Linked DNA regions of Drosophila melanogaster. The protein of the gene in region 1 interacts with the protein of each later gene in a pairwise test. Each region holds a gene or a part of one and is shown in the gene's direction. Other genes may lie near its edges.

Region 1 (7,054 bases):
CGGCCGTTGCTTGAACTTCAACTGGGCGCAAGTTTTCCTTCCACTCCCTCATCGTCCATCGAGTGATAATTTCTAACGTCCATTGAGGCAAAGTTTGTTTACCAGCCGAGTGCTATCAAAATCAGTCAGGCCTCAACAACAATAGCAACAAATGGTGGCGAATGAAAAATGCGCAAAGTAAACAGGAATCAGCACTCAAGGGTCTAAAATCTAGCAACTACACTATAAGAAAATGTTGGTAGAAGATAGGTATAGAAAATATAGATATCATAGAAAATGATCCTTTATCAAATATTAAAAATAAGAGAAATAAAACTTTTATATTTAAGAAATTTGTTTGTGCGATTTAAAATTATCATTTGCTTTAACAAAAACCTAAAATATGCGGTAAGATACCAATAAATTCATTAATAATATCAGATCAAATAAGTAGCTAGTTTTGTTGTTGATAATGCAATTGATGCAGCTGCTAATTATTATTTTGATCACTTTTCTTCGGTGTAGAATCTAAAGGCTGTCGGCAGTGGCATAATAATAAGCAAATAATTTAAACCAAACGCATTTTGCGCCACTTTGTTGCTGCTGCTGTTCTCGCTGTTGTTGCTGTTGTCTCAAATGTTGCCCATGACGTTGCCCACAAGTCATTGAACTTAACGCGGCGAACGTAGAGCCAACAATAGCAAAATAAATAAACGCGAAAAACGCGAAGAAGCCAAGGCAACTGTCCCCACCTCCCCCCTTCACCCTCGTGAGATGATAAGTGAAATGCAGTAATAATAAGAATAGTGCTCCCCTTTTCCACCCGCCCATCTTTAAACAACTCTCACTCGCACACACACACACGCACACACTCACTCGATTCGATTACACAATCTTCGCGAGCGGCATTTTCATTTTTCTCTTCCTGGTTCGTCGTCATCGCACGTCTGTCTGTATGGGTGAGCGTCTTTGGAGGAGTGTGCGTGGCATATCGGTGTGTCTGCGGAGATCAGGTTTTATCGCCCGACGCAATCGGACATATAGTGTGCTATAGCATGCCACAGCCTGGGTGGATCGTCGGATCGGTGGGGGCGGCGGAGTTATCGCTTCGATTGGTCGTCGTACCTCGGCTGCTCGCTGGCTTTTCGCTTTCGCGGAGGATCGTGGATATGTGGCTCCACCGATCGCCCAGTTGCCGTTTTCCTGTTATTTACAGTTTCTGGTTGCTTTCGCTGCTGCCCGTTGGAAAAATGGCAAGCTAGCATGCAGTTGACGTCGCCGCCGCCGCTGATCATTGACTTTCGTTCGTTCCCTTTTGCGCCAGGCGTTCGTCACGAAAATTGCGGAAAACGTTAGGGAAAAAGGAAAAAATACTATTCGAAAAAGAGATTTCTGTACCTAGTTAATTAATTCCTTGTACCCTTGCAATTTGCACAATCATATTATTTTTTATCATTGTCCTTGAATGTAAATTCATTTTTCGGGAAAATTTGGCATTGTTTGCTTTTTATTTTCAAGTCAAAACATTAAACCTTTTTGACTCAGAAGCAAATTCCTAAATACTTCATTTGATCTTCAAAAATAATTTTCAGGAAAGTATTTTCATGCCAAAAACTGCAGTTTTCCACTTTCTTCTCGGTGAAAAACAGCCCACAAACGCAAAAGCAACATGCAACATTTAAACTTCCGCATTGCAGAATTTGCTCTCCCACTCTGCCGTTCGGCCTTTCTCTTTCCTGCCTGCTCAGCTGAAGGTTCTTTGACTTGACCCCCCTTGAAGGCGCCCACACTTCTGCCCTCTCTCTTTCTCGCGCACACACACATGCCCATTGCCCTCTCCCTCGAGGATAGTGCAAACTAAGTAACGGTCCGAGTCTCTCTCTATTGCTCTCGCTCGCTGCATTGGTGTGTGTGAAATTGATCTTGAGTGGATGTGTGGTTGCACTTGGAAATGTTGGAAGTCGATGCCGACGTTGGCAGCAACGCCGGCAGCGGCAATAGAAATTGAAAATAGCAACCAGGAAAAGAGTTTGCAAATGAAAAAGTGCAGCAACAAAATACAGCTGCAACAGCGAGAGTGGCAATGCATGTTTCTGTTGTGCTGTTGCTGTTGCAACAGTTGCTGCTGCTGTTGCCGATTCTATTGCTGCAGCAGTTTCTAATGTGGCTGCAGCTTTCCAAGTTGTTGCTGTTGCAGCTTGTGTGGCTGCTGTTATTGCTGCTGCTCTTGCTGTCGCTGGCGCTGGTGGAGATTAGAAAGATAGAGCCTCCAGTACTCGCATCACATTGACTCTCTCCAACCGATCTGCTCCCTTCATCTCCTCCAGCGGCTCCACCTCATGCTCCGGCGGCGGCGGCGCTTCGCAGTTTTCCCACTCCATTGGGCCACACAGACGCAATGCATTCTATTTTCCTGCTCTTTCCACACACAGACCAGCGCACAGTTACTCACACTGGCGCAGAGGGACACGTTCTTGTTCTTCTGCGCCGCTGCTCCGTCGTCGTCTTGGACTTTTGTGTGTTGTCGTAGGTTCTACAGTTTAGCTTGGATTTTCCCTGGCGCATTTGGAGCGCTGCGAAGTTGGCGCTTGGATCTCGACGAAGCGAGAGTTTTGTACGCGCGATCACCATTTCTCCCAAAAAATAATAAAATCGACGCGCGAGTGTGCCGCCACAAAACGAACCTATATCGAAACGAGCGCCCGATTTTGGAACTAGCCTGAACTTGGAAACGAAGGACTTCGAAAACAACACGGAAGTGAATTGAAAAATTATGCAATACAAGCTATTACGAAGGCTAAGTGCAAGTGACAAACTTAAGCGAGGGGATTAGTAATGAGAAATGCGAAATGATCGTGATAATTGAATTCAAGCATTAACGAAAGAACTGCGCACAAAGTAGGGAGGCAATAATTACATATGTACATGGCTGGGAAAGGCCTTAACTAAACTTAGCAAACTAATAAATAGAAAAAAGGAAATATTGGCCAAATATTATAGTATTGGGAATATTAGGTTACTTGATATCAAAAATTAATGTCTATTTTATACACTTATTCTTAGACTTAATGTTAACTTATCGTACTTATTATGATTGGTTTTTCAAGATTACCAGAACTTGATAGATTGGTCTAGCTTTTGAAATCGGATAGCATTTTCTTTAAAGGACTTTGCCATATGCTAAAGCCTAACTTCTTTTTTCAATTCAGCCACAGCTGACAAAAGCGAAGAAAATTTGAAAGACCGTGAATCCTTTTGAAACGCCCTCTCCGGATTCCTCATTAAGTGCAAAAGATATAACATCGCAGAGATTTCCCATAAAAATGCTGATCAGGCGCCCTCGCAGGTTGCCAACGTCGATTTCCGCCAGCAGGACGATGATGAAGATGATGGATGCCCATCTCACCGATTCGATCCGAGCAACATGGATGTATACCAAATAGAGCTGGAGGAACAGGCACAAATCCGCTCCAAACTGCTGGTCGAAACCTGTGTGAAGCACTCGTCTTCGGAGCAGCAGCAGCTCCAAGTTAAGCAGGAGGACCTCATCAAGGATTTCACTCGGGACGAGGAGGAACAGCCAAGCGAAGAGGAGGCGGAGGAAGAGGACAACGAAGAGGACGAGGAAGAAGAAGGCGAAGAAGAAGAGGAGGACGAGGACGAGGAAGCCCTGCTGCCGGTAGTCAATTTTAATGCAAATTCAGACTTTAATTTGCATTTCTTTGACACACCGGAGGACTCGTCCACCCAAGGGGCCTACAGTGAGGCCAATAGCTTGGAATCCGAGCAGGAAGAGGAGAAGCAAACACAGCAGCATCAGCAGCAGAAGCAGCATCACCGGGATTTGGAGGATTGCCTAAGTGCCATTGAAGCTGATCCATTGCAGTTGTTGCATTGCGACGACTTCTATAGAACATCAGCCCTAGCAGAGAGTGTTGCAGCCAGTCTAAGCCCACAGCAGCAGCAGCAACGGCAGCACACCCACCAGCAACAACAGCAACAGCAGCAGCAGCAGCAACACCCTGGACAGCAGCAACATCAGCTCAACTGCACGCTGAGCAATGGTGGAGGTGCTTTGTACACCATCAGCAGTGTGCATCAGTTCGGTCCGGCCAGCAACCACAACACCAGCAGCAGCTCCCCCTCCTCCAGCGCCGCCCACTCTTCGCCGGACAGCGGCTGCTCGTCGGCCTCCTCCTCCGGATCTTCGCGATCCTGCGGATCCTCCTCTGCATCCTCCTCCTCGTCAGCGGTCAGCAGCACCATCAGCAGCGGCCGCAGCAGCAACAACAGCGTCGTCAACCCCGCAGCAACATCTTCATCTGTTGCGCATCTGAACAAAGGTACGTGCAATTTGCAACTGACACTGCGACTCTTCCGCGTTGTCGTCTCCTCTCCTCTGCTGCGGACCATTGTTGTCGGTCTTTGAAATTGTGTTCAATAAATTTGCATTCATTGCATAATAGCTGCAACAGCAATTGAAAGTCGTTGGGTCTTCGGTTTCTTCTCCTTTTGAGGAAACTATTAAAGCGCAGCATGGAAAATGTGAAAATGAATATAATTCGCTGTTATTGGCCAATGGCTGTTGCTGTTTCAGTTTTCTCTTTAGTGCGAGGAAATTGCTTTTCATGTTGCACGTCTGTCAATGTGCTTGCATTTGCCGCTGCATTTGCTTTTCCTTTTGGGTGCAGTGCAATTGAAAGCCATGGAAAAGATGTTTTAATTTTCATAAATCGCCTTGAATTGGTCTCGGCTCTCTTTTGCCTTGGATGATGGTATTTGAAGGGGCTAAGCCCATTCTACTCCTCCGGGAGTAGTTGGTGGCTCGAACGAATGGGTAGTTGGAACCGGAAATGCAACAAAACATAGGCTTAATAACTACTACGGTCAGCTGCTGCTTACACAGAGACTTTCAAAAAAAGAAACCAACATATATATTTTAAACAATTTTTTTTATAAATATCTAAATCCAATACATTTTTATTGCTGAATGATTTACCGCCACTAATAGCCAAGAAAATGATTATTTAACTTTAAATATAAATTTGTTTATTTTCAATAAATTTTATAATATTTTGAACTACAATTCGACATTATAAATACTATTCGGCTTGGCTGAACTTGCAAATTGCCTGGATTTTTTGGCGAAGATTTCATTTCGAGTCCTGGAATGGCAACATTTAATTGCGTCAATTAGTGCGAATGAAAATTAAATCTGTTAGGAAAGGCCTTGAAATCAAGCTGGGAATTAGAGGAAAAGTCAAAATCTCGACTGCTTTTTCCACGGCATTCAAATTGATATTCCTCTGCCGGGGCAAAAATTGACTGCAATCGCTCGTTGTCCACTCCACTCAATTAGTTGTCTTCAACCAGATAAATGCATGAAATGAAAATGGAAATGGGAAAAAGTCGAGGAAATATGAAGTCTTTGTCGTCTATCGTCCATGCCTCTGACTTGTCTGACAACGCGGAAATGCCAAGCAGTTTTCCACCAGCCAGTCAGCCAGCCAGCCAGCCAGCCAGTCAACCCACAACCCGCACCCCTTTTTCTTCGGCTGGATAAACAATGGCGTTTCAAATTGTCAACTTGCAAAAGCCACCAAATGATTTGCATTTGAACGCGGCGCGAAAATGAAAAGCAGCCACTTGAGTTTCCTTTGCGTTTTCTTTTCTTTTTCATTCCTGCCCGGGCCGACGACATTTTCCAGACGCCGTTGTTGTAGTTGTAATTGTTGTTGCACTCCAATTGTAAAAATTCAATTTGCAATTGCACAAGCGCGTAACGCGCCATCCACTGTAAGAAAAAACAAATGATGTAAACATGCATCACCAAAGTTGATCACCAAATAAATATTAACAAATTTAAACGGTTTCGGAAGTGATGTGTATTAGATTAATATTTGTTACAAAATTTGTAAAGGACAGTTTCTTGGACCAAGCACAAGGACATTTTATTACAAGAAATAAATTGAAGTTCTGTCTCCATATTTCCGTTCCTGTCGACAGTTTTTCGGTGCGTGTATCCACATTAATTTCATTTTGTTTCGCATTTCTGAGGTGTGGCAACGCCAATGTGCACAGCGGCAACTAGCAACACCAACACCAACAACATCGCGACAACAACAATAGAAGGCTGTTCAAACTCCGCGCTTAGTTCATTTGCCTCTTCCTTTTGCATTAGAAAAGCGAAAAATAGCAGCAAGACATGCAGTCAAATTGAATTCGAAATGAAATGCCAAGAAGCAAACATTGCTGCCTGGCTCCAGTTTTTCTTTGCTTGTTTTTCTTTTCTTCTTTTTCCCTAATTTGCAATGCAAATTTTTTTCGGCGCTCGCACTGTGAAAATTGTGCGGCTGCAGCTTTCCTCGTGACTGCCGTTTTTACAGGCAATTTATTGTAGGCGGTGGCGTATACGTGATTTTTTGGCATTTCTTCTTATCGCACATCTCCTGGAAGTTGAATGCACTCTTTGGCCATTGGATTTAACTTTGATCACCAGCCCACTGGAGGATGATTAAGATGGGAGCCTTAAAGCTGTCGGAAAAAAATAATTTAGCCATTAGGTGGCTTAAATCAATTACTGGTGACACTTGTCGATTGATTGCGCTTGTGATCGTGATTGTGATTGTGGCTGTCCCGTGTTGCAAGAAGGTGACATTTTGGACGATGGCGAGTGGGTGACATGGCGGCAGTGACAGCAAACTCATTTAACAAATTGCACTGCGACATGTTGCACACGCGGCGTATGAGCAATGTGCCATTGCATAAGCGACCAGCTGGACAACTTTCCAGCGGAGGAAATGTGTAAACCAATGCAATTTTCCCTTGCAGAGCAACAGCAGCAGCCACTGCCGACGACACAGCTGCAACAGCAGCAGCAGCACCAGCAGCAGTTGCAACACCCGCAGCAGCAGCAATCTTTTGGCCTAGCAGACAGCAGCAGCAGCAACGGCAGCAGCAACAACAACAACGGTGTCTCCTCGAAATCATTTGTGCCCTGCAAAGTCTGTGGCGACAAGGCATCGGGATACCACTATGGTGTAACCTCCTGCGAGGGTTGCAAGGTGAGTTTGTG
Region 2 (8,225 bases), on another chromosome or scaffold:
AAATACATAAGTTTGGGAATTGGGAGGTGGGCGTTTCTGTAGAATTTGCATGCAAATTTTGAACCATTTCTAAGCACTTTCAAGTTTTCCGATTAGTTTTGAAAGTAAAGCGAATAAAACTATTTTGTCATCATTATTTTAAACATTTTTTCTTTATGTTATACATAGCTCTAAATAATTTAAAATGATCATTTTTGTAATTACTGTATTCAATTTAACTCAAATACATTTCATGGCCAAAACGTGTTACCTGGAAATTCAGAACTTTATATTTTTGTTGCTTTTAGTTCGCCTTGAAAGATCAGAAAGTCCAAAAAGGTCGTTCAATCTTATTGCCAAAATGTTGGACCCACCATCGCTGGAAATAAACTTGGCAAATCAACACATTTGTCAAGCTACACATAACAAGGCGCAGACGAGAAGGTCCAAACAATCCAACGATCCAAAGCCCCATCAGCGAATAAAACCAAAGGTCCACGCAACTAAGGAAATTAAACGGAATCCGTAAGGAGGACAAACCCGAACCGGCGGTGAAGATCGGAGTTCGGTGGGGAAATCCCAGGCAAAGTTGATCACCCGCTGACAGAAAATCACTTGGCAACGCGGCTGATCATTAACCGATAACACATGACATTAAAGAGTTTCACAAAGAAGTTTTAAACGCACACAAAATAAGATAAATGCCGACCACCCCAATGAGGGGGAACCAGTCGACTGAACCACAACGCACAATCCCGACAATAACGAGCGGAAAATTAATAGTGTGAACAAAGAAGAAGAACCATGGGGAAGATCGAGGAGATGGAGATGGAGATGGGGATCTGGGCATCTGAGATAGGTATCAGCTTACATTGGAGACGGCCCCAAAACGACGACGGTAGTAAGGAGTTGGAAATTTGTCAAAATGTCAACGGGTGAAACAGTTTTGGAGCGTTCATGCGAGTCACCTGGATGCGTTGCGATGGGATGCTACGGATGGAGATGGAGCTGGCAATGGAGGGACTTCGCATGGGGCAGCCACGTAGCTTTTGTAAAACAAACCATTAGCAGCTAATAAACATTAGTCATGCGACAAAACAAAGTCTCCTGGAGTCTGCTGCAGAGGCCCGATGATTTAGTGAGTGTAATTAAAACTTAAGTTTCCTTCGCTTCGCATATGTAAATTATCTGGCGGAATTCCACGAAATGCCAACCGAACTGAAAAAAAAAAACGAAATACGAAAAAGAGTTTTTCAACTAAGGTTGAACAAGTTTTGTGGTGTTCGCCCGGTCCTCATATGTATAATTATAATGAATAGCCTGTTTAATCAAAATTTATGCAGATCGTGGTCAACCAAAGCGAGCAGCGCGTGTTGACAGTCAAACCATTATTAATCACTGGCAAGAGGATCGGTAGTTGGCTAGCGCGGAGGATTTGAAGGGGCTTCTCCGCCAGGTAATCCTGATAAGATCGTTTTGTAAGTGATCGTGGACAAATCGTGTGCAAGATTGTGCCTTGCGCATTAGAGTCTCTCTATGCGGCAATTGGCAATTAGAAAACAGAGACTTTCAATCCTCCAATCCTTGTGAGTCAGAATATCAACTCCATTTCACCGGATCTCATTCCATGTAGCTGTAAATGTATACCACTTCATTTGTATCTGCAGCTTCCTTGAATTCGCGTGGTGTGTCACCATTTTACTTCACCTGTGTATGGATCCTCCGAATCCTCGGCCTGGATACCATGTTATTTATGCGCGTTTCATCCAATCACAAATCACTTGAGGAGCATTTTGTTTTGCACATTTTTATGGCCGCTACTGATGCTATGCAAGTCGAGGAAGTGGTCACAGTCCCTCTTGGATGGCAACTAAATGTAGTGGATCAAGCTTAAATGCTTCAGAAAGAGGTATTTGTAGGGCACCCTTAATTGGCATAGGCTATTTTTTAATAAATTTATGGAAAAATATTTGGGTTCAAATTGTTGTTTCTTAAAAATTCTTTACTTTACTTTAATGGCACAGCACGTCCTTAATTACTAAAATATTTCAAGAGGGTGTCATAATCATCCATATATGATTATTTAGACCTTTTGGGCTTACGTTAAGTTTTTTGGCCAGTGTGGTCAATCATGAACCGTTAACAACCCTTTTTAAATTCGCAAGAAAAATACCTGATTTCCTATACACCATTTTGACGATCGTTTGACGGTTATGTCATCTAGTCCCTAGCTTCAATTCCTTCCCACACTCACACATGGCTAAGACTGCAGAGCCGTGACGAACCAAGTCACCTCAAGAGATGATCGCTGCGCATGCGCATAACCGTAAGATTCACACATGCCTGGGAATCGGATTCGGAATCAGCGAGGATGTGAATGTGGACGGGGATGAGAATGTGTGTGTGTGGATGAGGAACAAGAGAAATACATTTTGAAAATTTAACGATGCGCACATTTTATTACCGCAATTAATTACAAAAACAACGCGGCCAAAACGAAATCTTAGTCACTTTATCAGAGAGGTCCAGTGGATAAAAAAAATGAAAGAGAGTAGTGCACGGAGAGCGATCTGAAAGGAGCGATAAGGTTTATGATAGATGTGACTAGTAGAACGCTACTAGCAAATGGTTCTGGGTCTGCAGATTGCAGCTCCTCTCGTAATTGGAGGCGCGACAGTTTGTCTCCAGCAGTCAAACCTGGTTAATTGGAGAAGAGACTCCCGGTCTATGAGAGAGAGAGATACGGAGCGAGACCGACCTGTACGGTCAAACCTGTTTCTCGACCAATTAAATTCGAGAGCGGGAGCGTAAGCCAGGCTTTAGGCCCGGCCAAAAGACGATGACGGCTGCTGTGGGCTGTGAGGCCAAGACATTTCGTGTTTCGACGCGTAACGCGACAGTTCCCCGGGCTAAAAAGCGCCTACGCCTCAGAAAATAGTCATCCGAAACGGTAACGCCTGCGGTCTATGAGTGATTCTTCGGTGTGGAGAAGAATGGGTTTCAAGCACGCCATGCTGCAGCGCAGTTACGACCTTTCGCCCTCGCCGGCGCGTACTTCACCCACCAATGGAGTCCAGAACTTGGGAGCTGGGGCACAGTTGCCACCGGCTCAAGTCACTGACTTTAGCATCAGTAAGATTCTGGGCAAGGAGCGTAAATCCGCTCAGGATACGAGCACGAATATCCTGGATCTATCCAAGAGCAGTAGCAACAGTATTAGGAGCCCACAGGCTCTTGGAGGGCTGGCAATACCATCAACTCCTTATGCCTCCGGTGCCTACTCCATGTTGCCGCCAGATTTGGTGGCCATGGCCAATGCCACCAAGTTCTATGCCCAATTCTTCCCGCACTTACTGCCCGCCTATGCGGCTGCTGCAGCGGCTGCCGGCTTGAGTACTCCTCCTACGTCGCCCTATCAAACACATCAGCATCAGCAGCATTTGCCAAATCAGCAGAAACGCTTCTTTGCTCCCTATGTGATCAATGGATCGGTTCCCCCACCACCACCACTGCAGCAGCAACAGCAACCTCTCATACGCACCAAAAGCACCGCATGCACTCGTCCGGATTGCCCGGAGTGCCTGGATTATTACCAAAGATTGCAGACTGGTGGCTATAAGCAGACCGCACCTCTCATCTCACCCGCCGCCTCCTCGGTGAGCAGTTCCACCGGATCAATACGTCCTGTGAGGGATCTGATTATGAGTGCCACTGGAGGAGCCGCCAGCACTAACATCTCACTGACCACCGTGACCAATCTGAGTCTGAACTCGGTCCAGGCAACGGCCGTCGGAATGATGCCCAAGATGACCGGTGGACTGATCACCACAGCCGTCGGCAGCAACAGTGGAGCAATCGGTGGTATCGGTGGATACAATGCCACATCCGCCGAGGAGATCAGCTACAAGTGCCGGATTTGCGAGAAGGTATTCGGATGCTCTGAAACTCTGCAGGTGAGATTTTATTATTGTTATTAAATTATTATTACGATGGTGTTCTGTTTACAAGTATATATCATTTATGACAACCAAAGCGTTTAGTTATCAGTTATTAGCTTTAGAAAAGATAATTCATCCTAAATATATTCCAAACTCTAACCCAAGGATTCAATTTATTCTTAAAATCCCTCAAAAACGAGTAAACACAAAACACCCACGAAACAAATTTTTATATTTATAGTGTAGACAGAATTTTAATTTTTTTTATTTCATTAGACCTTCAACTTTTAAAAAATGAAATACAAATATTCAAAAAATATATGCAATTCCCAATTAGAATTTAAGAATGAAATGATTTAGATTTGCCAGATTATATTTTATTTCAGTTTGCTGCTGTTTAGTTATAAAAAAAGCGAAACGAAATGAACGATTGTATGAAATTTTCTTATAAATTAAATAGCACAATCAAACTTATACGTAAAGTCACTTAAAGAGTTTGTACTTACACACAAGCATTTGGCAAATGCACGCGTATTTTTTTTTTTAATTATAAGTAACAAAAAAATTAATGATTTAGATCTCATCAACGGTTACGTATACATTTATCACAAAGAAATATGTGTTTATGCGGAGTACTAAATGATTGAGAATTATTATTGCAAAGCCATTAAATAACTTTAGGAATTTAACTCCTTTCAAAACATCTAAGCCAAGAACAGCATTAACCTTTCACATGGCCATACATCACATAAGATATCGTTTGGCCGGTCCTCAAAGTCCACATCCACACGAGATCCTCCCAAAACGGGTTTCTTCACCAACAGAGATACCATATGGATTTGGGCGGGGCCTAAAAAACAGAGAAACAGTAGTCTAATTGGAAGGCGGAGCTCCGAAGAAAAGAGTGGAGATTCAAGTGGAGTGGGGAAGAGAGAGGCAGCGAAGAATTGAGTGCCTTATGCAAATCTCGCAAGCAATCCGAGTTCAAAATGGAGTCGGCCGAAAACAGAAACAGAAGCGGGCAAAAAAGAGAGAACTGGTTTTACGCATGGGTGCAGCTACAAGATACGTTAGAAAGGGCCAGACGCCGAGCGAGAGGTAATCACAAAATGGCCACTTTGGGAAAGAACACCAATTTCAGTAGCTAACTGAAGCAAGCCACATTTGAAGTTGCAACAAAATTATTACAAACAATGGGGAACATTCGAATGTGTAACCATGGTATTTTTTGCATTTCTGGCTTATTTTGTATAAGTATAAATGTGTCCAAAGCTCAGTTTTCAGTAACTTTATATTCGAAATCTTCCAATCCTCACTAGAACTTATAGAATAAGGTATTAATATTAGGACCTAATTAAAATGTTGCTAAACATACTCATCTTGAAAGCCTCCCTTCCAAAAACTAACTAACTAACGAACAGTTTGTAGAAAATCGCTGTTTTATGAATTTCACAACAGATTTTCACTACCTCAGGTTTTTTATTAAAATTTTAAATCTCTTACTATTGCTACAATATTACTATTGCTAAGCTAATGTATCTTATTTATTTATCTTATTTGTCTATTATGTTCTTATTTCAGGCTCATGAAAAGACGCACAAATCGCCGCGTTACGAGTGTGCGGATTGTGGAAAGGGTTTCTCCCAGCTGCGAAATTACAAATATCACCTGTCCGTTCACCGAGGAACCAAGGAGTTTGCCGCCGAGTGTCCCGAATGTGGCAAGACATTCAACGATAAGGGATATTTGAGCAGTCACCTAAAGATTCACCGGAACCGGAAGGAGTACGAGTGTCCTTACTGTCCCAAATCGTTCAATCAGCGTGTGGCCTTCAATATGCATGTCCGGATTCATACCGGCGTGAAACCCCACAAATGCAACGAGTGCGGAAAGAGATTTTCGCGTAAAATGCTGCTCAAACAGCACATGAGGACGCACAGTGGTGAGAAACCGTATCAGTGCTCCGTGTGCGGCAAGTCCTTTGCCGATCGCAGCAACATGACCCTGCACCATCGCCTCCACTCGGGAATCAAGCCCTTCAGCTGCCCCCTGTGCCCCAAAGCCTTCACCAAAAAGCATCACCTAAAGACGCATCTGAATTACCATACAGGCTGCAAGCCGTATGTCTGCCCACATCCCAACTGCAATCAGGCATTCACCCAGTCGAGCAATATGCGAACCCACGCTAAGAAGTGTCAGTACCGTCCGTTGGATGGACTCACGGTCACATCATCCGCACTTCCAGTACCGGGAAAACAACAAACAGGTCCACCGCCCACTTTGGCCATGGCCATGGCTCAAACATTTCAAATGCCGCCACCTCCTGGAGTTCTAACACCTGGATCTGGTCCATCCCAACCGCCGAGTCAGCAAACCCTTCTCAGCAATCTCAGGACATTCTAAATGGGTGGAATCGTTGTGCCCGGCCAGTTTCAACCAAATTTGTGGCAATTACAAAGTGCAGTACTTCCACTGTTGTTATTCAATTTACATTTATTTTCAAGCAATAATTTTGCTAGAAATTAAATTAGGAATAGACATTAATTATTATTAAAATAGGCATATATATTGGCCAGTCAATAAAGTATAATATCAAATACAAAAGGATTCCAGGATTCTAGAAATAATATTTTGGATTGGAGATATGATTGGGAGTCCAACTAGGTAATTTCGCTTATAATCAGATAACGCAGCCTTATTTAATTCAAATCTTCTAGTGACAAAAATTAAAAGATGTATGTTTTTTTAGTAAACAAATGAACGAACCGTTGCAGTACATTTAACATATTTAAAAGTGCGCTCTCACTCAGCCAGATGGCGCCACCTGATAGTTTATTACCACTGTAGGTGTGTTGAGTAACTAAACGAAATCTTGCTGTTAAATTGTATTCACAGCTGTCCTAAAACCGAGTTGGCAGCCCTTTTCCCCTCAAAAATCGAAAGTCTGTTAATATATCGATAAGTCAAGGCAATTGTCAGTGGTACCGTTTCGTCTGGTATGACCGTGTTGTGAAATTTTGTTAGAAATTTACAATATAAGCGAGCATAAAAAACGCAGGAAAAGCGCAAAAAAATCAGTAAAACGTGCCTGCGGACCCAGGCTGCGGTGCGTCCAGTTGGCCGTAGAAAGCCTTTACCAAATTCGATCGAACTGAGAATTCGATTCGGTTAACTTCTGCATTGGGCTCAATTTCACCATTGCACACGTGTCTGGAGCTTTTCCTGGGTTCGGTCACCTCCTCCTCGGATTGCGGACGATCCCGTGGTAGCGCTGGGAAATGCCCAGCAGAGGACGGCGGGCAGTTCGAGATTGTTCCGGCAAAGAAGCAGGCGCAACTGCAACAGACGCTGGTCACCAACGACAGCACCGGACTCTCAATGGCTGAGTACTGGCAGCAGTTGACCAACGGCGCCGGAGAAGCGGGACCCGGCAATGAGTCATCCGCCATGGCAGACTGCAACGGAGGTCACGAATCGGCGGCAGTGGGTGGTTCCTGCAACAGGCACAGCAACAACAATTACGTGAACTTCAATCAGTTCATTATGCAGCACAATCTGGGTGGAGGAGCGCCCTCGAATGCCACCAGCACTATGCAACATCCGGTGGGCAGCAGCTACACTAACTTCTCCCTGGGCGGCGGTGGAGGAGCCTTTGGACTGAACCCACCAGTGGCATCCGCGAGTACCAGCCACTTTGCAAATGTGAGTCATCAATCTCCGAATGTATGTTTCGATATATTAGAACTTAGGTTTAGTCCTAATGAATCAACTAATAAATCACAAAACAGTTTTACTCGCAGGCCATGATCCCAACCTATCAAAATGGCGATGGCATCGCTAGAGTCACCGTCACCAGCAGCTATGGGTCGGTCAATCCGAGCAACAGCAATTTTTCGAGTTTTTACACACCTTTTGGCAATAATCCGTTTGACTTCAGCGCTTCCAAGCTGCAGGCCTCGGCTCCGGAATTCGTGCCCAATTTCGCCAAGCTGAGTCTAGAAGAGACACCGGCAGCCGCCACTACGAACGGAAACAGCACTGCCAGCCTAGAGACTGCCATAAATGAGACGAGACCTAGGACTCTGCGAGCCCAAGAACCAGCTGAACGAGGAGCTAACAACCAATGCTCGAACCATAATTACGAACGGGAGCGTGAGCGGGAACGTGACCGGGACCGGGACAGGGAAAGAGACCGGGACAGAGACAGGGACAGAGACCGGGACAGAGACCGGGACAGGGACAGGGACTCTAGACCCGGAAATACGCGACAACAACGCCGCTCCGACTATCGGGACGATCGGGAGGACC
Region 3 (8,569 bases), on another chromosome or scaffold:
TTGAACGGGATAATATCCATATATTCCTTTTGGCTTTATTCAGATTTGCTCAACTTGTTTGCTGCCAATTCTGTGTTTTGTTGTTGCCGGCGTTGCTCCTCCTGTTGCCATTTGGCCATTGTTGTTGCGTTTTTATTTCTTTTATTATGTACGAATGTTTGCCTGTTTGTTTGTGCAATGCTCTCTCGCCCATTGTGTTTTTCTGCTTTATTTCCCAGTAGCATAGCATAGTGGTGTGTGTGTGTGCGAGAGTATTTTTATTTCGTATTTTCATTTGTATTTTTTGTGTGTGAACAATTAAAACTCTTTACAATGACCTTGACTTTGTTTTTTGTATGGTCCATGGCCCGCCTGCTTGTGAGTGTTTGTGAGTGAGCTTCCTTTTCATTCACACGCGCCCAGCACGCTCAATCGTCAAACATAAAACATAAAACACAAAATACAAAACACAAATAGCAGCAACAAAGCCGTCTGAGTGTCTACTCGTCGCTCATTCTGGATCCGAATCAGAATCGGAGTCAGAATCAGAATCGCAATCCGAGTATGAGTCTGAGTATAAGTCTGGTTCTGTTTGGTTTTTCGGGTTTTGGCTTGTTTTCCCATTTTCAGCAAAATACTTTTTGCGGAGCAACAGTCTTCCCATCAAAAGAATCAATGCCTCGTACTTGTACTCGTACTCATACAATAACAAAACAAACAGGCAGGCCAAGTACATTGATAATGAACCGAACAGAATTGTATTTCTTTTTCTGCATTTTGTATTTGAAATTACACAATAGCCCCCATAGAATCAACAACGACTTTGACTTATTCCTTTTCTTTGGCCAACTTTTTGCGGTTAAGATTTGCGTTCTTGTTGTTTTTGATGTTATGATGTTGCGTTGTTGTAGGTCAGTTACTGGGGCAGGTTTTGCATTGTTTGCCGGTCTTGCCTTTATTATTGTGCCCGCTTGCCCCAGTGTTTTCGCTCCATTGTCAAATGTTTAGCAATTGGCCATAAATTCATTAAGCCGACGAGCCCACATATCGGCTTTGTTTGCATTATACATTTTTAATGGGTTAGTAGCTCGATTCAAGTGTTTGATGACTTTGCAGGAAATTTGGAGACGATGCTTAAGGAGTTGTACAAAAGAAATTTTGATTGTGCTTTAAAGGGAGAAAATGTATATATATTATTTATCGAGGAAATGCAGTTTTTCATATAATTTGTATTTTATTTATTCAAGAACAAAAATGGTCTTCTATATTATTCGTAGTTTACGGATGCAAAAGTATGTTTTATTTTAGCCACAATGGTATTTTTTTTATTTAACACACAATTTATAATTAATATAACTTTTAGAAAAGCCCATAAATCTTGGTTTTGCTCTTCGAGTGTGCAAAAAATCTTCAATTAATCGACTTCCACCTGCACTGCAAGTTGGTGAGTAGTTCTCACCAGCTGAGAACTGCAATCCAATCACTTTGCACTGCTAAAAGTCGCACAAAAAAAAAGAGCCCAACATTTACTCATGGGCAACCCAAAAAACGGAATACCAGAGTCAGCTGAGGAAAAACGCATTCATCGCGGGGTGGTAAATTAAAGGGGGGTGTCGTGGTGGGGCAGATGGTGCCCTAAGACAATGCCGTAGGACGGGCTGGCTCATGTGGCGGATACGTGATACGTGTAAGCCAAACCGCATCAAAGTTCTGAGATACAACTGCCGACTACCGCGAGAGCAGGATACATTTGCAGCTGCACTTGCTTAATAAATTTTTCCATCTGCCGACTGCCTGCCTACACAATTATTCGTGAGCTACCTTGGCAAACCCATTAGGTTAATAAGAAGCGCAGCGTAAGACGCAGAGTGACTATACATACATATATATATATATATATCTATATTATATATCTTTTTGTATGTACATATAGCAGGGCCAAAAAAAAAAATAAAAAAGGAAACCAGGAAAAACTATGCGCGTGAGACGCGCTCTAACGGCGAAAACGCCGCAAACACTAAGGCCCCTGGGTCCCTGGATCCCTGGACTGGGTTGAGAGTACCCATGGCCCGCTCCAGCTCCCCCCGTCCATAGCGTTTCGGCCATGTTTAAAGCTCGAAATTTATACGAGAAATTCCTTCAGAGTCTCTTTCGGCAGCGGAAAAGCGGCAACAGCGCTTGCCATAAACGCAGAGACGACATTTTTATGGCAGCGTTGAGCGCAACGCGGATCGATATAGTGACGGAACGAGATAAAGATACATTCGTACCGCTCTCACCGTCCTCTGATTGGCGGAGCAGTGTGCGCAAAATCCAACCCAGCCAGCGCTCACCGCACACAGATGCACACATGCACAGCAGCGAGTTTATTTGATTTATTAGCAGGCCAGCCACTCGTATATTCATCTCGCTCCCGCACAGGCGACGGGCAATGGAAATGCCGACGCACACTTGGACAGCAGCGACGCACACACAGCTACTCGCGACTCAAGACCAGTTTTTCCAGCCACCCTGTCTGGCGGACCGCACCGCATTTACCGCCTCCTCGAGCGGCCAGCGGCAGACGGTCTCTCATTCGACTCTCGCATTCGCCGTCGTCAGCACACGCGCACGCAACGTACCGCACGGCAGTCGCAGCACGCCATCAGCAGCAACATCACGCAGCAACATCAACTCGGTTGTTCGCTGTCTCGAATTCGGTTTCGTGTCGTATCGTATCCGTATCGTTTCGCATCGCATCGCATCGGTGGTTCTGGTTCGTGCCTCGTCATCAGCTAGCCAAAAAGCGGTGATACGAAAGAAAGAAAAAAAAGTCATCATACAGCCAGGGAAAAAGCAGCGTAGAACGCACCTCGAACAGGTTTCGCCGTCGTCCGGAGAAACAGAAAGGTGCTCAATTCCGCCCAGTGTGGAGGTATTTTTTCGGTGTTCCCGCTTCTCGCATACGAAAAAAAAAAACAACAACCAAACCAAACCAAATATATTTACAACAAAATCTAATACAAACAACAACAATATTCTGAGGCAATTTCGCGTCGGGTTTTAGCAACAATTTTCAAGTGTTTTACGCCGCCTCTTGTTTGTTTGCTAGCAAACAACATATATGTATATCTGATATTTGTGACTGTGGAAAAAACGCAATTCAAGCTGTTTAGCTACAAATCCAAAGATAGCCGAGCGCCACATTTTTGATACGCGTAAAGATACGAAAAACTACGAAATAAAAACTGCAGCGAAAATCAAAATCTCAAAAATCACAAGTGCAACATGGTTTCCCAAAAAATGTTCAAAATGTCTAACTAAGCAAAGAGTAAACTAAAGCTAAAGAGTAACTGCATCTTAGAGGCGAGTATCCACGGAGAACCAACTTTGAGTCAAATCAGCTTTATCGCACCGAAAACTGGAAGTAATCCCCGCAAGATGCTGACCATGGAATCGGATATGAAAGGCAGCCTGCTGCATGCCACCATGCCGCCGCATCACACAAGTGCCGCGTTGCACGGACATGCGGCATCGCCGTACTCCGCCCTAGCTCCCCTTATGAACCTGGGCCAGTCGCACCTGACCCACTCGCAGCTGAGCCATCACAACCACCATCATCACCACATGAGCGCCCATATCGCGGCCAGCCAGAGTCCCAATCCGCTGAGCTCGCTGCAGTCCTCGATGGCGAACACCCTCAATGGCAGCCAGGTGGGGCAGCAGCAGCAGCAACAGCAGCAGCAGCAGAGCTCCCCGCTGCACAGCTCCAGCGAATTGAGTCCCACCCAGAGCAGCATCGGAAGCCATCACATGACATCGCCGGTCAGCCACCAGCAGCACACGCAACAGCAGCAGCACGGGCAGCAGCAGCATCTGGGCGCGGGATCTGCATTGAGCAGCCTAACTGGAGGATCCAGCAACAACAACAACAACAGCGCCACGGCCAACAAGAACCAACAGCACGCGGATCGTGTGAAGCGGCCTATGAATGCGTTCATGGTTTGGTCACGGGGCCAGCGGAGGAAGATGGCCTCGGACAACCCCAAGATGCACAACTCGGAGATCTCGAAGCGACTGGGCGCCCAGTGGAAGGACCTCTCGGAATCGGAGAAGCGACCGTTCATCGACGAGGCCAAGCGCCTGAGGGCGGTGCACATGAAGGAGCATCCGGACTACAAGTACCGGCCGCGCCGCAAGACTAAAACGCTGACCAAGACCAAGGAGAAGTACCCAATGGGCGGCCTGATGCCCGGACAGACGGTGGGCGGCGGAGCACCGGGTGAGCCGGTGACGCCCACGCGGGTGCAAGGTCAGCCTGGCCAGAACCAGTCGCTAAACGGTAGTGGAGGCAGTGCAGCAGCGGCAGCGGCGGCGGCAGCAGCGGCAGCGCAACAGGCGCGCCAGGATATGTACCAGATGAACGCGCCCAATGGATACATGCCCAATGGCTACATGATGCACGCAGATCCGGCCGGAGCGGCAGCCTATCAGACCTCCTACATGGGCCAGCACTACGCGGCGCAGCGGTACGACATGGGACACATGTACAACAACGGGTATGCGATGTACCAGACGGTGTCCGGCGGACAGACATCGCCGTACGGCAGCAGTCTCCAGCAGCCCGGATCACCGTCGCCGTATGGCGGCAGTAGCTTGCAGCAGCAGCCCGGCAGTCCGACTCCGTACGGCGGAGGTGGAGGCGGTGGCGGTCAGGTTTCCTGCCAGAGCCACAGCCCCAGCGACTCGAGCATCAAGTCCGAACCGGTGTCGCCCAGTCCCAGTGCCATAGCGCTCAACAACAACAACAACATCAACAACAATCACATCATGAAGCGGGAATACAGCTCTGCAGCGGCGGCAGCAGCAGCAGCAGCAGCGGCAGCAGCCGCCGGCGGCGGCGAGCTGAATCACCTGATGAATATGTACCATCTGCCGGATGAGCAGCGCCACCTGCTGCACTATCAGACTGACTCGCCCGATCTGCAGCAGCAGCACCAGTCGATGCAACAGCAGCAGCAGCACCTCCCGCAGCAACACCTTTCGCAGCAGCACCAACAGATCCCGCAGCAACACCATACCATGCAGCAGCAGCAGCAGCAACACCACCTGCAGCATCAGCAATCGCTGAGGGCGATGGCGCCGCTGGCACACATGTGAGAAATGGCCAGCGCCTATGGAGCAGCAGGCTCCAGTGTGAGCGTTTCGCCTCCACTGCCGCCGTACATGCCGACGGCCCCGCAGCAACAGCAGCAGCAGCAACAACAGCAGCAACAGTTGCTCAACGGACGGCCTAGTCCGACGGCATCGGGGTCGTCGGGCGGCCGCTCCTCGGCGCATTCCAGTGGCCATACCGCCGCGCATTCACCCGCCTTGGCAGCCGCCTACCAGCTGACCCCCTCCGCTGCCACCTCCTCCGCCACTTCGGCTGCTGCTGCGGCGGCAACTGCTGCTGCCGTTGCTGCTGCTGCGGCTGCAGGCAGCTCCTTTGCCGCCTCGGCCAGCATGCTGGACATGCAACAGCAGCATCTCGAGGAGCAGCAGCAGCACCACCACCTGCACTACCAGCAGCAGCAACAGCAACACTACCAGCAGCAGCAGCAGCAACAGCAGCAGCTGCAGCACCTCCCGCAGCAGCAGCAACACCAGCTGTACCATCACTATCATCCTGGCCACGAGGCAGCGGTGGCTGCCAGTGCTGGCCTCCTGGATATATCCACATTGTAAATTATTGAAAATATTAACTAAAGCCCTAGGATACGCACACCCACGCCCACAACCACAGCCACACACACACAGACACAATTTTAGCCTTAGTTCTTAAGCAGGTTTAATTCGAATTTCGAAGTGGCAGAGTAACACATGCGCATATAAATAAATGAGAATAGGATTAATGTTTAGTCATTTAAATGATGCATACGCACTGTTGTACCACAATAGTAAGATGACAACTCACTTGCATTCCATACCGTTCTGCTTCGATTTCCCTTGATTTCCCGCTTGTTGCATAGCTAAAACAATTGTGTGATACAAATAAACTGTTGCCAATTACGGGGACAACGGCAACAACAACAAATTCGTTTGGTTTAGCATTTCATTTCCACTCACCTTTTGCTGTACAAAACATTCTCAGACATTAAATGTGCGTTCAATTGAAGGGAGCAACGGGACGCGGAATCAAGCACAAGTTTAGTAGGAGTAAAGGCAGTTGTGGCGAGGCGATGAAAATATTTCAGAAAAGCAAAGAAAAATGTCAAAAAACATTCTATTTTATAAATTCTCTTATGCATTAAGTAATTATAATTATTATCTATTATATAAACAATTTAATTATTAATTATGCTTACAAATACCAGACAAGACAACCATAATTAATTGTAATAAAGCGAAAACAAAATTATTATTATTATTAAAACATAAATCGAATCGAAGGCAAGCATCTACTGCATAATACAAACACAACCAGAGAAAATGTTAGTAAACCTAAAGCAAATTTAGTAAAAACAAACCAAGAAGCAGCGTGCAAACGTGATTGTGAAACATGGCGCAAGGCAGCGAAAACAAACAAATCCAACAAAACATTGCCAAGCACCTGGAAATAATAAAAACAAAATCCACAAAAAATCCACGAAAAAAAAACAAATAAAAGAAAAATCTTTACAAAAACATCTCGCTACATTTTTACTATTTGCCGTCGGCAAAATGGGAGGATCCGTGAATTTTGCATACCGAATCGATATGCAGGTTCAGCAATGTGTCAGATGGCTTAAATTCCAGTTTGGATTTTATAGCTCCCCCCATTTTTAAGTGGGATGCGTAATTCCTTAGACAAAAGCGATTAGAGTAGTAAAAATCAAATGAAATTCACGCATTGTCAACATAAATAAAAATGTCATTAAACAAACCCTGACAAATTAGAACAAAACATGAGATGAGATTCCCATAAAAATGGTATGCCATCTACATTTATAAAATCCAGCCATGGCAATTATTTGGGAACTTCATGTGAATCGCATGCTGCAATCTGGCATTTCAATATTTATTTAAGTGCATTTTGTCAATGAGTAACTGCAATTTTCGTGACCGGAAGGCGACGCTTTGTAGCCAACACCGTCCAAACTAATTCCACCGATCATGCATCAAGGTTGAAATACAATTATTAGGAATTTTGATAATGCGATATATATCATATGCCATATTTTCAGAGCCGCTCACCAGACCCAGATTGTCCAATCACTCGGCTGTCGCGACGGTGAATGGGCCTACAAAACCCGATAATATCCACTTAATATGGCTAATTTATGCTGGCCAAACCATCACATCTGGCCCACGCTCTGTGCCAACATTTCAAAGAGCTCATAAAAAATTATGATATGTATTATTAATGAAAATTGCAAATTCAGAGCGACTGGGAGCAAAAACAAACACACATTGGCTGCAAAACAATTTATTTATTATGTGCAAACATTATACACTGTTTACTACTCTTTTTTTTTTTTTTGTTTGTGTCATTCGAAAGCTGCTGATTATTGTAATTCGGGTAAATGGTTTGGCTTAAAATGAAAGCTGCCCGGGAATTTCAATTAATGTATTTTCAATTTTTCACCACCATTCCCCTGCTCGTTTCTATTATTTCCACTTTGCAATCAATTAGTGGCAACGAGTTTTAATTATAAAATTTCGCATCTAAATTATTTTTCGCTTCGGATGCTTAACCCTTACCCATACCTTCGGTTGATTCAAAATGTTTAACCTTTTCTTTGGCTTCAAAAATTCCCATTTTTTTTTTGGTTGTCTCTGCTCGAAATAGTTCGCATGCATAAAAAACGAGCTTCGATTTGCATTTGTCGCAATTTTCATAATATTCACAGATTTTTCTGTGGGCCTCTGCTTATCTTCGATTTTGAGGCCTGTTTATTTGTGTTGAAATTCGAGATTGTCGAGTGGCATGTTCGAGATACATGCATAATTTGTGTGTATATTTCTACGCGCTGTGTGAAATAAATGCAAAACGAGAAATTTATTAATGCCATATGGGTGTCATTTGAGCTAAGTTGCAGCAGATACAATCTAGCTAAAAAATGCGACTTCGTTTGACATGCAAATGGTAGTGGAGAGAGATCGCTTCAGTCAGTTGCGCCTCGTATTTGATTTGGATTTATTTCGGAATTGAGTGTATTTGGCTTGTTCTCTTGTCAGCCAGCTGTGTTTGCCTACCTTTAATTAGCTAAAAAATTGTTCTGCTTTCCGTTTTATTCGAATGTTATTTCTCCGACTAATTTTTTGTGGCGCTGTCATTTGTTGCAATCAGTGAGAAAATTAAACGAAATCCCGATGACAACATTTTTATTGCTGCTCGCTTGCCATTAAAATTAGGAGCTAATCACACGTTTAACAAGATTTTTTTGTTGTGTGTTTGTTTATTCGGTGGTTTCTGACTTCGATCAGTTGATATTTTATTTTATTTTTTGTTGCCTTTATAGTGGGGACAGCAGACAGGTGCTTAGCTTATTTTATTTTTTTGGCTGCATCTGAGTCAGCAATCGCCGATCGTGAGAGTTTTTCGTTGGCTTTGTTTTGGATCTTTTGATTTAGTTCATTAATTGGCCAT
Region 4 (8,032 bases), on another chromosome or scaffold:
ATGAAGGAGCAGACGATACCCGCCACCAAAACCAAGACCAAAACAACGAGGTGACCATGTGAGCAAGACTTCTTATGCGAATAAATAGTAGCCAAATGTTAACACGAATACACTGAAGGAGCCGTCCTAGTCGCAGTCATAGCGGGTGCACTTCTCAAAGGCTCCAAGACCCTGCGGCTGGGGCTTCTTGCGACGGCGCTCGTACAGCAGCTTCTTCTCGGCGGCGCACATGAGCCGACGCTTGATGTGATTGTCCATCTCGAAGTCCAAGTCGGCCGGCTTGGCCAGCTCGTTGGGATCCCTTGTGGCTGCCGAGTCCAGCGCCTTAATGATCAAACTGAGCAGCGCGTGCGCGAGGCGATGGCACACATCGTACTCGATGGCATCCTGGCTGGTGTAGTAGATGGCCGACTGTGAGGTGGGCTGCACACCAATGGCCAACAGGATGTTGCAGAAGATGCCGCGCTGCATGCGCGCATACGGATCCACCAGCTGCGGCGGAATGCGCATCGTTGTGGCCAGATGGGAAATGAATTTGGCGAACTTCTTGATGAGCACGTTCAGGTACTGGGTGCGGCACTGGCGCTCCAGCTTGGTCAGCATGTTGTAGTACAGTTCCTGCTTGCGCTTCAGGAAATCCTCCTTCTTTCGCTCCTTGGTCTTGTTGCTCTTAAGGATCTGCTCCAGCTGTCTGTTTTTGGGAATGAGATGAGATGATTAGATCGCGTTAGCAACTGATGCAAGCGCTGCACTTACTCCGTGGTAATGGCTTTGTATTTGCCCAGCATGCGCTTGATCCGCTTGGCCCGCAGCTTCGGATCGTATACATCCTTGAACTGCTCGTAGTTGTCGATGAGCGTGTGCAACTTGGGCTTGGACAGGGCCACGTCGTAGGGCTTTACCTTGGGCGGCAGTGTCGGCTGGTAGGCCATGCGCCGCACATACAACTCCAGCTTGTCCAGTTCCTCCTCCCGCCGCTTCTTTACGTTCTCCTCTGCGCACACATCCGGATCCTCCTCCTCGGGCAGCGACTCCGTCGACGTGGGCATCGGCTCATCCCAATCCGAGACATTGGAGCTGGCCATGGCTGAAGAGTACTACACGGAACTGAACTAAACGAAACGAAACGGAACGGCTCGTCTCGGCTTGGTAAATTTGTACGTATTGGAAATTTAGCTTTGAACTTGGTTACTTATAAACACAAAATAATGTTTCGAAATCTTTTTTGTGTACGAAAAATTTGGGTAAACGGGAGCACTAACAATTTTATGTATTCACGCTGCGATAGTGGATCACCTTATGAGCAGTCCCAGTTGAAATGTGAGCGAGGTAAAACCAAAGGACTACTTGATAGTCAGAAAAGTTCTACATGTTTTCAAAGAAATGGAACATTAATTGTATGGCAACAAGATTAAGGAATTCCAATGACTCACACCACTAACAAGCAAAAGAGCACTGCATATGTGGTTTACAATTAAATAAGCAACGTTTTATTATATGTAATGTAATGTAATGTATGAATATTAACCAGTGGATCTATGGATCTAAAGCTAGTAACACTCGTTCTGCACGGATCGCTCCAGGGCGAAGGTGTACTCCTCGGCCAGCTCGTCCACGGACAATTGGCGCGTTAGTAGCGCCAATATGCTGTCCACCTGCATTTGGGTGCTGGTGTAGCGATCCTTGTTGGCCAATCCGGGTGCCAGCTCGAATGGAATGTCCTGCAAGTAATTGACGGGTCCTTGGGCTCCGGGCTGCTTCACTTGATCGCTGCGCGGTCCTGGCATCGGCGGATAGGGCAGATAGCCCGCTGGCGGCATAGGTGGATACATGGAGCCGGCTGGAACACCCGGATGAGGAGCATCCGGTACTGGTTTGCGCTCTATGAACACGAAATCATCGACACTGGTGCCTGGACGGGTTGCCTCCGCCGGTCCCTGGATGGGCTGGTCATCCGTGGGCGTTTCCGCGGGCTTGCGTTTGCCAAATATCGAAAACATTGCACTATTTTGTTCTATTGTTTGGTAAAATCAACTGGCAAATTGCGTCGTCCGCCAGCTGTGATGCTCTTTTAGCGGGCGTTGGTCCAAAACAGCGAGTGCTAGCTAGTGGTGTGCCCAAAAGATGTAAACATATAGGTGTCTATAGTGAGGTCTGAGCGAAATATGAGAATTTTGGGTATTTAATTTTTAACTATTTGTTTGCTTGGGTATTTTTCGGTTACGAATGTGTATACCCAATATAAACTTTATTAATTGCAAGTAGTTAGATTTGGAGTGAAATGCAGTCTGCACTGAATTTCCGTTAATCGCCTATCGGTGGGCGCGCAGTGTGGCCATTCGCTCGTCGGATGCGCAGGGCTGGACAACCGACACTGCGCCCGCCTCCGTCGCCAAGTGAAGTCGCTCCGAGATTGATTGTGTACACCGGATAAGAGGAGCGAGCGAAAAAGATGTCAAAATTGGACCAGGACCCGAACGCCTCACTGAGCATCATGGAGGTGAGTGTGCCGCCGGGACGCCATTCAGAGCTTCAGTGTGTCCACTGCCCGGAGCTCCAATTCCAATCGGCGGTGGCTACTCTAGAGCTGCCACATTAACGCATTCACAACTGTCTCCATTTCCCACATTTAACATAACTTTACTACTTCGCGCAGCAAATCAAGCAGCTCATCCGCCCGCCGCCCAACGAGGACGAGAAGATGATGCAGCGGTCCACCAACACGAAGCATCCGTACTACAGGCGCCCGGGCAGGGGCCACAACCACGACTATTGTGACGCCTGCGAGGAGGGCGGCAATCTGCTGTGCTGCGATCGATGCCCCTCCAGCTTCCACCTGCAATGCCAGTGAGTATATACACGCGCATATAGCTGCTCATTTTGAGTGCTGATTTCGTGCTTTCGCCACAGTGATCCACCGTTGAGCGAGGAGGACATACCCAGTGGCCAGTGGCTGTGCCACAGCTGTCGCATGAGCAAGCTCTCCCAGCCGCCGGCCTCCTCATCCAAGGCCAGTTCCGTGGAGCGTGTGCCTTCGGCGGGCAGTGGCTCACGGGCGAATACTCCATCGTCTGGCGATCTGGAGTCCATACCGCTGAAGATCCGCAACCTGCGCAAACGCAGCAACAGCGAACGCAATAGCACCGAGAAGCTGCTGGCCAAAATGCCGATGTCCATACAGCGCGCCCTCGATCCGAACAAGAAGCCAACGCCGCTGGACGATGTCATCAGGGCGGCCACCATGATGAATCCGCAGCAATTCTCGCTGCCGCCGGAGCTCGAGCTGCACACCCAGTTCCCGGGCAATGGCAAGGTGCAACCCGTACAGCAGACGCATCCGCCGAGCGGAAATGGCGGTAATCGCAGATGCGCCGGCAATCAGCGACGCAACTCCAAGCCGTTTGAGCTGGATGCCCAGGGACTGGTGCCGCTGCCCGCCAAAACCTGTTTCTACTGCACGCGCTCCTGCAAACGGGCGCCGCTCATCTCCTGCGACTACTGTCCGCTCTACTTTCACCAGGATTGCCTGGATCCGCCACTGACGGCACTGCCAGCTGGATTGTGGATGTGCCCCAATCATGCCGAGAATTTTATCGTAAGTCAGCCAACGCACATGGAGGTCTGCTTGGGTTCTAATGAGGATGTCTGTTCACAGGATGCCAATATGACCAATAGCATTTCGGCCACGGAGCGGGTGCGTCTCTGGAATCGCTTCCACCAGCCACTTGACCATGAAAATGTCAAGCTTGAGTTCTTCCGGCGTGTCAACACGCGCAATCCGCCCTTTCGCACCAAGAGAAATCTGCGTGCTCGCGCCCACATCGAGGTGCCAGCCATTGTGCGCTACCACTACGATCATCCGCCGCCGCTGTTGCCCTCCATGCGCCAAACGTTGCGCTACGATCGGGTAAAGCGGCGCAATAACCTGCCCACCGAAGTCGAGGAGATATCCCGTGAGTCGGTCACCGAATCGCTGCTCAAGGATCTGGAGGCCTTGCGCACGGCTCACGCCAAATTCCGTGAGATTCAGAGGGAATTCGGAACCTTGGAGACGGCCATAGATGGCGATAGCGACAGCGATCCCAGTCCTGAAGAGAAAAGGACCGAGACGAACACTCCCGCCGATAAAGTGAATGGCGAAGTGGATACGGAGAATCCCAATACAGAATCGAATGCGCAGGCCAGCGAACAGCCGTCGGTTGTCAAGGTGGAGTCCAAGACCAGCCTAGAGGTGGAGGCTAGCTTCGAGGAGGACGAGGAGGACAGCAAGAAATCAACGGGTATTATCGATGCAGACCTCTTACACCTGGACGTCGATATAATCAAGAAGCTGGCGCACCAGCGTCTGCAGCAGCTGGTCGAAGAGCATCCGGAGATTGTGACACAGTACAAGAATCGCACGGCCGCTCGTCGCCTGCGTCAACTGGCGTCAGTCGATGGCACACATGTGGCTGGCGAAACTGCTGCCCTGCAAGGCCAACTGGCGCCGGAGGATATGAACCGTTTCTCGCTGCTCTTCACCAGCGAAACGTCCTCAATTCTGGCGCAAAAGAATGGCAATGCCGCCGACGAAGATCCCGCAACGGCCCTGCATCCGGCACTGGCCACAGCGGCGGCCATTGCAGCAGCAGATGCCGCTGCCGAAAGCTATGCGCCGCGTGCCCGTAGCGACACGGAGAAGGCATACGAGCTGGCATCGCGCCTGGAGCTCAAGCTGCTGCAGTGCAAAGTGCAGGCGCGTGCGGTGATAACGCCACTGGGCGACATGCTCGAGGATAGCCGCTGGTTCAGTTCGCTGGGGCTGGACCATTCGATTTTCATGCGCTACCGCACGCTGTACATTGGCTACGGTGGACACTATTCGCCATCGACGACGCTGGCGCAAACGGAGACCGTGGACCTGTCGGCCATTGGTTACTGTTGTCGCATTTCACCGCAGCACGCCATCATCTTCTACGACGAATTCTCCAAGTCGTACGAGCTGATCAATTACTCAGAGTTTGGCACCGAGGTGAATGGACAGCTGTATGCCTGCGACGTGACCGAAAGGATGACAACGCACGCCGGCAAGCCGATGCGACCTGACGATGCGGAGCTGAAGAAGCGCGTCGATGAGATGCTGGACAAGCGTCGGAACATTAATCGCCAGTTCGAGACGAAGAAAATCGACAAAGAACGGTAGCTATAGTTTATTTGCCCAACTTACCCAATGATGATGATAACCACTTGTTGATTTAATCTCCCCGCAGATTGGCGCCCATTGTTAAGCCCGCCTGCCGCTGCATGAACGCCGGACCAGTGCCCATGGTGGATGGCGCCTGGGAGGGATCGGCGGTGCTGGCTCACGGCAGCCTGCTGCGATTCGGTTGCCTGTCGTTTGTGTTTGTCGTGCCGTCGGTGGATCTGCTGCAGGCGCAGGCGCGCAGCAAGCGTTCGTAGAACCAGTACCCAGACTCCATCAGCAGAAGCAGCAGCCTTTAGTTTAAGCATTAAGACACAGAAACATATACGCGCTCAACCGCAGCCAACTCCAGTGGAGCAGCACCAATCTCAGTGGGGCAGCTAGCAGCCAGGCATAGGGTTAGGGTTAGCAGATACCAGTTCAACTTCATCGCATCAATCATCGCAATGCAAAGCCTCGGCAGTACTTTTAAATCACACAATCCTCCAATCCCATCCAGCATTAAGGGTATATATTTGCCTTATGACCAGTGCAATAAATACGGAGTACAAACCACGGATGTGCACGGCTGCAGGCTGATCCATGCCAGTGGGCAGTGGATCTCTGGTATCAAACGCCGTATTTATTGAATTAACCATTACGTTCATAAATCGCATAAACCCGCATCGCATACTTTACTTTTATTGTAAAAACAGATGTATAAATTGCTAAAACGAAATAAACTTGTAAGATCAGAGATTTTTTCACATGCAAATGGATCGATGGAGCCACCAATTAGCAGTAAGCCCCGCCCAATAAGTGCACATGACTTTTAGTTTCTTTTGAAATGAATGTGTTTACTTTATAACCAGATCAAATCCAACTGGTTAAGGCATTATAGAGAACGAGAAGAGTATACACAATAGGTGCCAGGCGGCGGGACGCCTTGACTTTGTGGAGTACACGAAACGTCGGATAAGTACATTCGGTATGGCTAATATGCAAAAAATATATATGTATATATTTGTAATTGTAAAGATCTAAGACTACGCATGCACCGCGTCCAGGTGCCGGCTGCCATCCTAGAGTGCGGCCGCAGGACCCGGCTGAGCCTGTGCCTGTGACGGGTTGGTGTGCTGCATCTGCTCCTGGACGCCAGCCTTGGCCGCCGAGCGCGTGGCTCGCGATCTCTCCCATTCCGCTTTGTGCTTGCGCTTAGTGTGATGGTACATATTCGACTTGGAGCGGAATTCCGTGGGACAGAAGGCGCAGGTGTGCAGCTTGACGCCCGTGTGCGTGGCAAAGTGCTCCTGCCGCAGAAGAATTCATTATCATTAGTGGTATCCATGCAGCTGCGGATAACTGAAACAATGCAAGGCAGTGCAGTACTCACCTCCAAATATCGCTTCATCTTGAAGCTTTTGCCGCACACATCGCATGCGTACTTGGGCTTGCTCAGGCAGCGATGATTCTGGCCAGGAAGCTCACCGCAATTGGGACAAATGATCGAAACGGGTGCCGCATGGATGACAGCCTGCAGCGGAGCCGCCGGTCGTTTATCCGTCTCTGAAGGCGGGTGGTTGCTGTAAGAGATTCGTTAGTAAGCTTGCTGCTTGCTGCTTGCTGCTGGAGTATCCAATCGACTTACCCATAGGGATGCGCCATCATTGTCCCAGTTGTCGTTGTCGTCGTTGTTGTGGCACTGCTCGTTCCTACGGCCGCCGCTGCAGCCGCCGTTGCCGACATGACAGCAAAGAGTTGTTCCTGATGTTGCTGTTGCAAAAGGCTCGCACACAGACGCTGCTGCAGGCTATCCGGTTGTCCTGGCGGATTGCCCGTTAGCGAAGCGGCTGCCACGACAGCAGCGGCTACCGCATTATAATTGGCCAGTATGAGCTCGTTCTCCTTGAGCCTTTTCTGCGGCGAATCCTCGTCGCTAACATCGCTGCCCTCCGTGTGCTGGACCTTTTTGGGCGAGTGCGTCTTTCGGCGACTGGATCGATTGCGTGAGCCCCGACTACCGGATGGCGGTGTCTTGGTTATGGTGAGGTTCATGGCCTCGCTGGGTTGACTCTTGATTACCGACAGCGGCAGCTGTTGGACAGTTGGTGGCGATGGTAAAGGAGCTGCTGCGAGATTGGTGGTGGGTGTGGCAGACGAAGCAGGAGTAGCAGTAGCAGCGGGATTTACTGTGTTTCCAGGAGAAGCAGAAGATGCAGGAGCGGAAGCAAGAGCAGGAGCAGGAGCAGGGACAGGAACTAAAACTGCTGGAGCGGTCTCCTCCGGCGTCGTGTGATTCTGATTCGACTTGGCCGCATCCCGCTCTTCGCGAGCCTTTAGCCACTGCGTGGTGTGCTTGCTCTTCACATGGGTGTACATATTCGAACGGCAGCGGAAGGCCATTTCGCAGTAGGGACACGCAATGGGTCGGTCGCCGGTGTGGGTGGCTATGTGCTCCTCCAGGTAGCGGCGCATCTTAAATGACTTCTCGCAGAACATGCAGGGAAACTTATTCGCCGTTGTGGGAGTCACCACTTTGGGCTCCTCCGCCGGCTCCAGTAGCAATTGCGGTTGCGCATCCAACTGCGTTTCGCTGCCATCCTCCGACCAGTTGACATCACAATCGATAGCCAAAAACTGGCTGCACAGCGTCGTCTGCTTTAGCTCCACCAGCTTCCAGAAGTTGTGGAAGCTCTCCAGTTGCGAGCAGCACTCGGTGCAGATGCAGGTGGAGATGGCGTCGTCGCGGGAGAGCTGCGGCAGATGAGCGGTAGCATTAGGGCGAGGCGGTGGGCTAAATAATCATCAGCGAATACTCACGCAGAGGTACAAGTGAATCGAGATCAGTTGGACCAGGTAGCTCTCTGGCAT

Evidence for each region.
Region 2: the proteins of Eip78C (region 1) and CG15269 interact in a two-hybrid assay, tested with the Drosophila melanogaster proteins (one large-scale study listed by BioGRID).
Region 3: the proteins of Eip78C (region 1) and SoxN interact in a two-hybrid assay, tested with the Drosophila melanogaster proteins (one large-scale study listed by BioGRID).
Region 4: the proteins of Eip78C (region 1) and CG3815 interact in a two-hybrid assay, tested with the Drosophila melanogaster proteins (one large-scale study listed by BioGRID).

Annotation. Positions count from the first base shown.
Region 1 is NT_037436.4:21,224,070-21,231,123, forward strand, and holds the start of Eip78C (Ecdysone-induced protein 78C), read left to right. Parts: upstream 1-2,849; 5' UTR 2,850-3,403; coding exon 3,404-4,322; intron 4,323-6,810; coding exon 6,811-7,043; intron 7,044-7,054. UniProt on the Drosophila melanogaster protein: Induces the early late puff 78C which triggers puparium formation and development.
Region 2 is NT_033779.5:15,106,595-15,114,819, forward strand, and holds CG15269 (uncharacterized protein), read left to right. Parts: upstream 1-2,810; 5' UTR 2,811-2,990; coding exon 2,991-3,932; intron 3,933-5,498; coding exon 5,499-6,320; 3' UTR 6,321-6,498; downstream 6,499-8,225. Other genes in the region: stc (shuttle craft), read left to right, coding at 7,296-7,640, 7,706-8,225.
Region 3 is NT_033779.5:8,823,095-8,831,663, forward strand, and holds SoxN (SoxNeuro), read left to right. Parts: upstream 1-2,550; 5' UTR 2,551-3,399; coding exon 3,400-5,118; coding exon of another isoform or gene 5,119-5,685; 3' UTR 5,686-6,576; downstream 6,577-8,569.
Region 4 is NC_004354.4:6,293,054-6,301,085, forward strand, and holds CG3815 (uncharacterized protein), read left to right. Parts: upstream 1-2,335; 5' UTR 2,336-2,452; coding exon 2,453-2,500; intron 2,501-2,656; coding exon 2,657-2,847; intron 2,848-2,910; coding exon 2,911-3,595; intron 3,596-3,655; coding exon 3,656-5,178; intron 5,179-5,249; coding exon 5,250-5,439; 3' UTR 5,440-5,917; downstream 5,918-8,032. Other genes in the region: mldr (mulder), read left to right, coding at 1-54; CG15892 (uncharacterized protein), read right to left, coding at 127-691, 757-1,085; CG15891 (uncharacterized protein), read right to left, coding at 1,551-2,000; CG12219 (uncharacterized protein), read right to left, coding at 6,244-6,471, 6,555-6,744, 6,810-7,915, 7,982-8,032.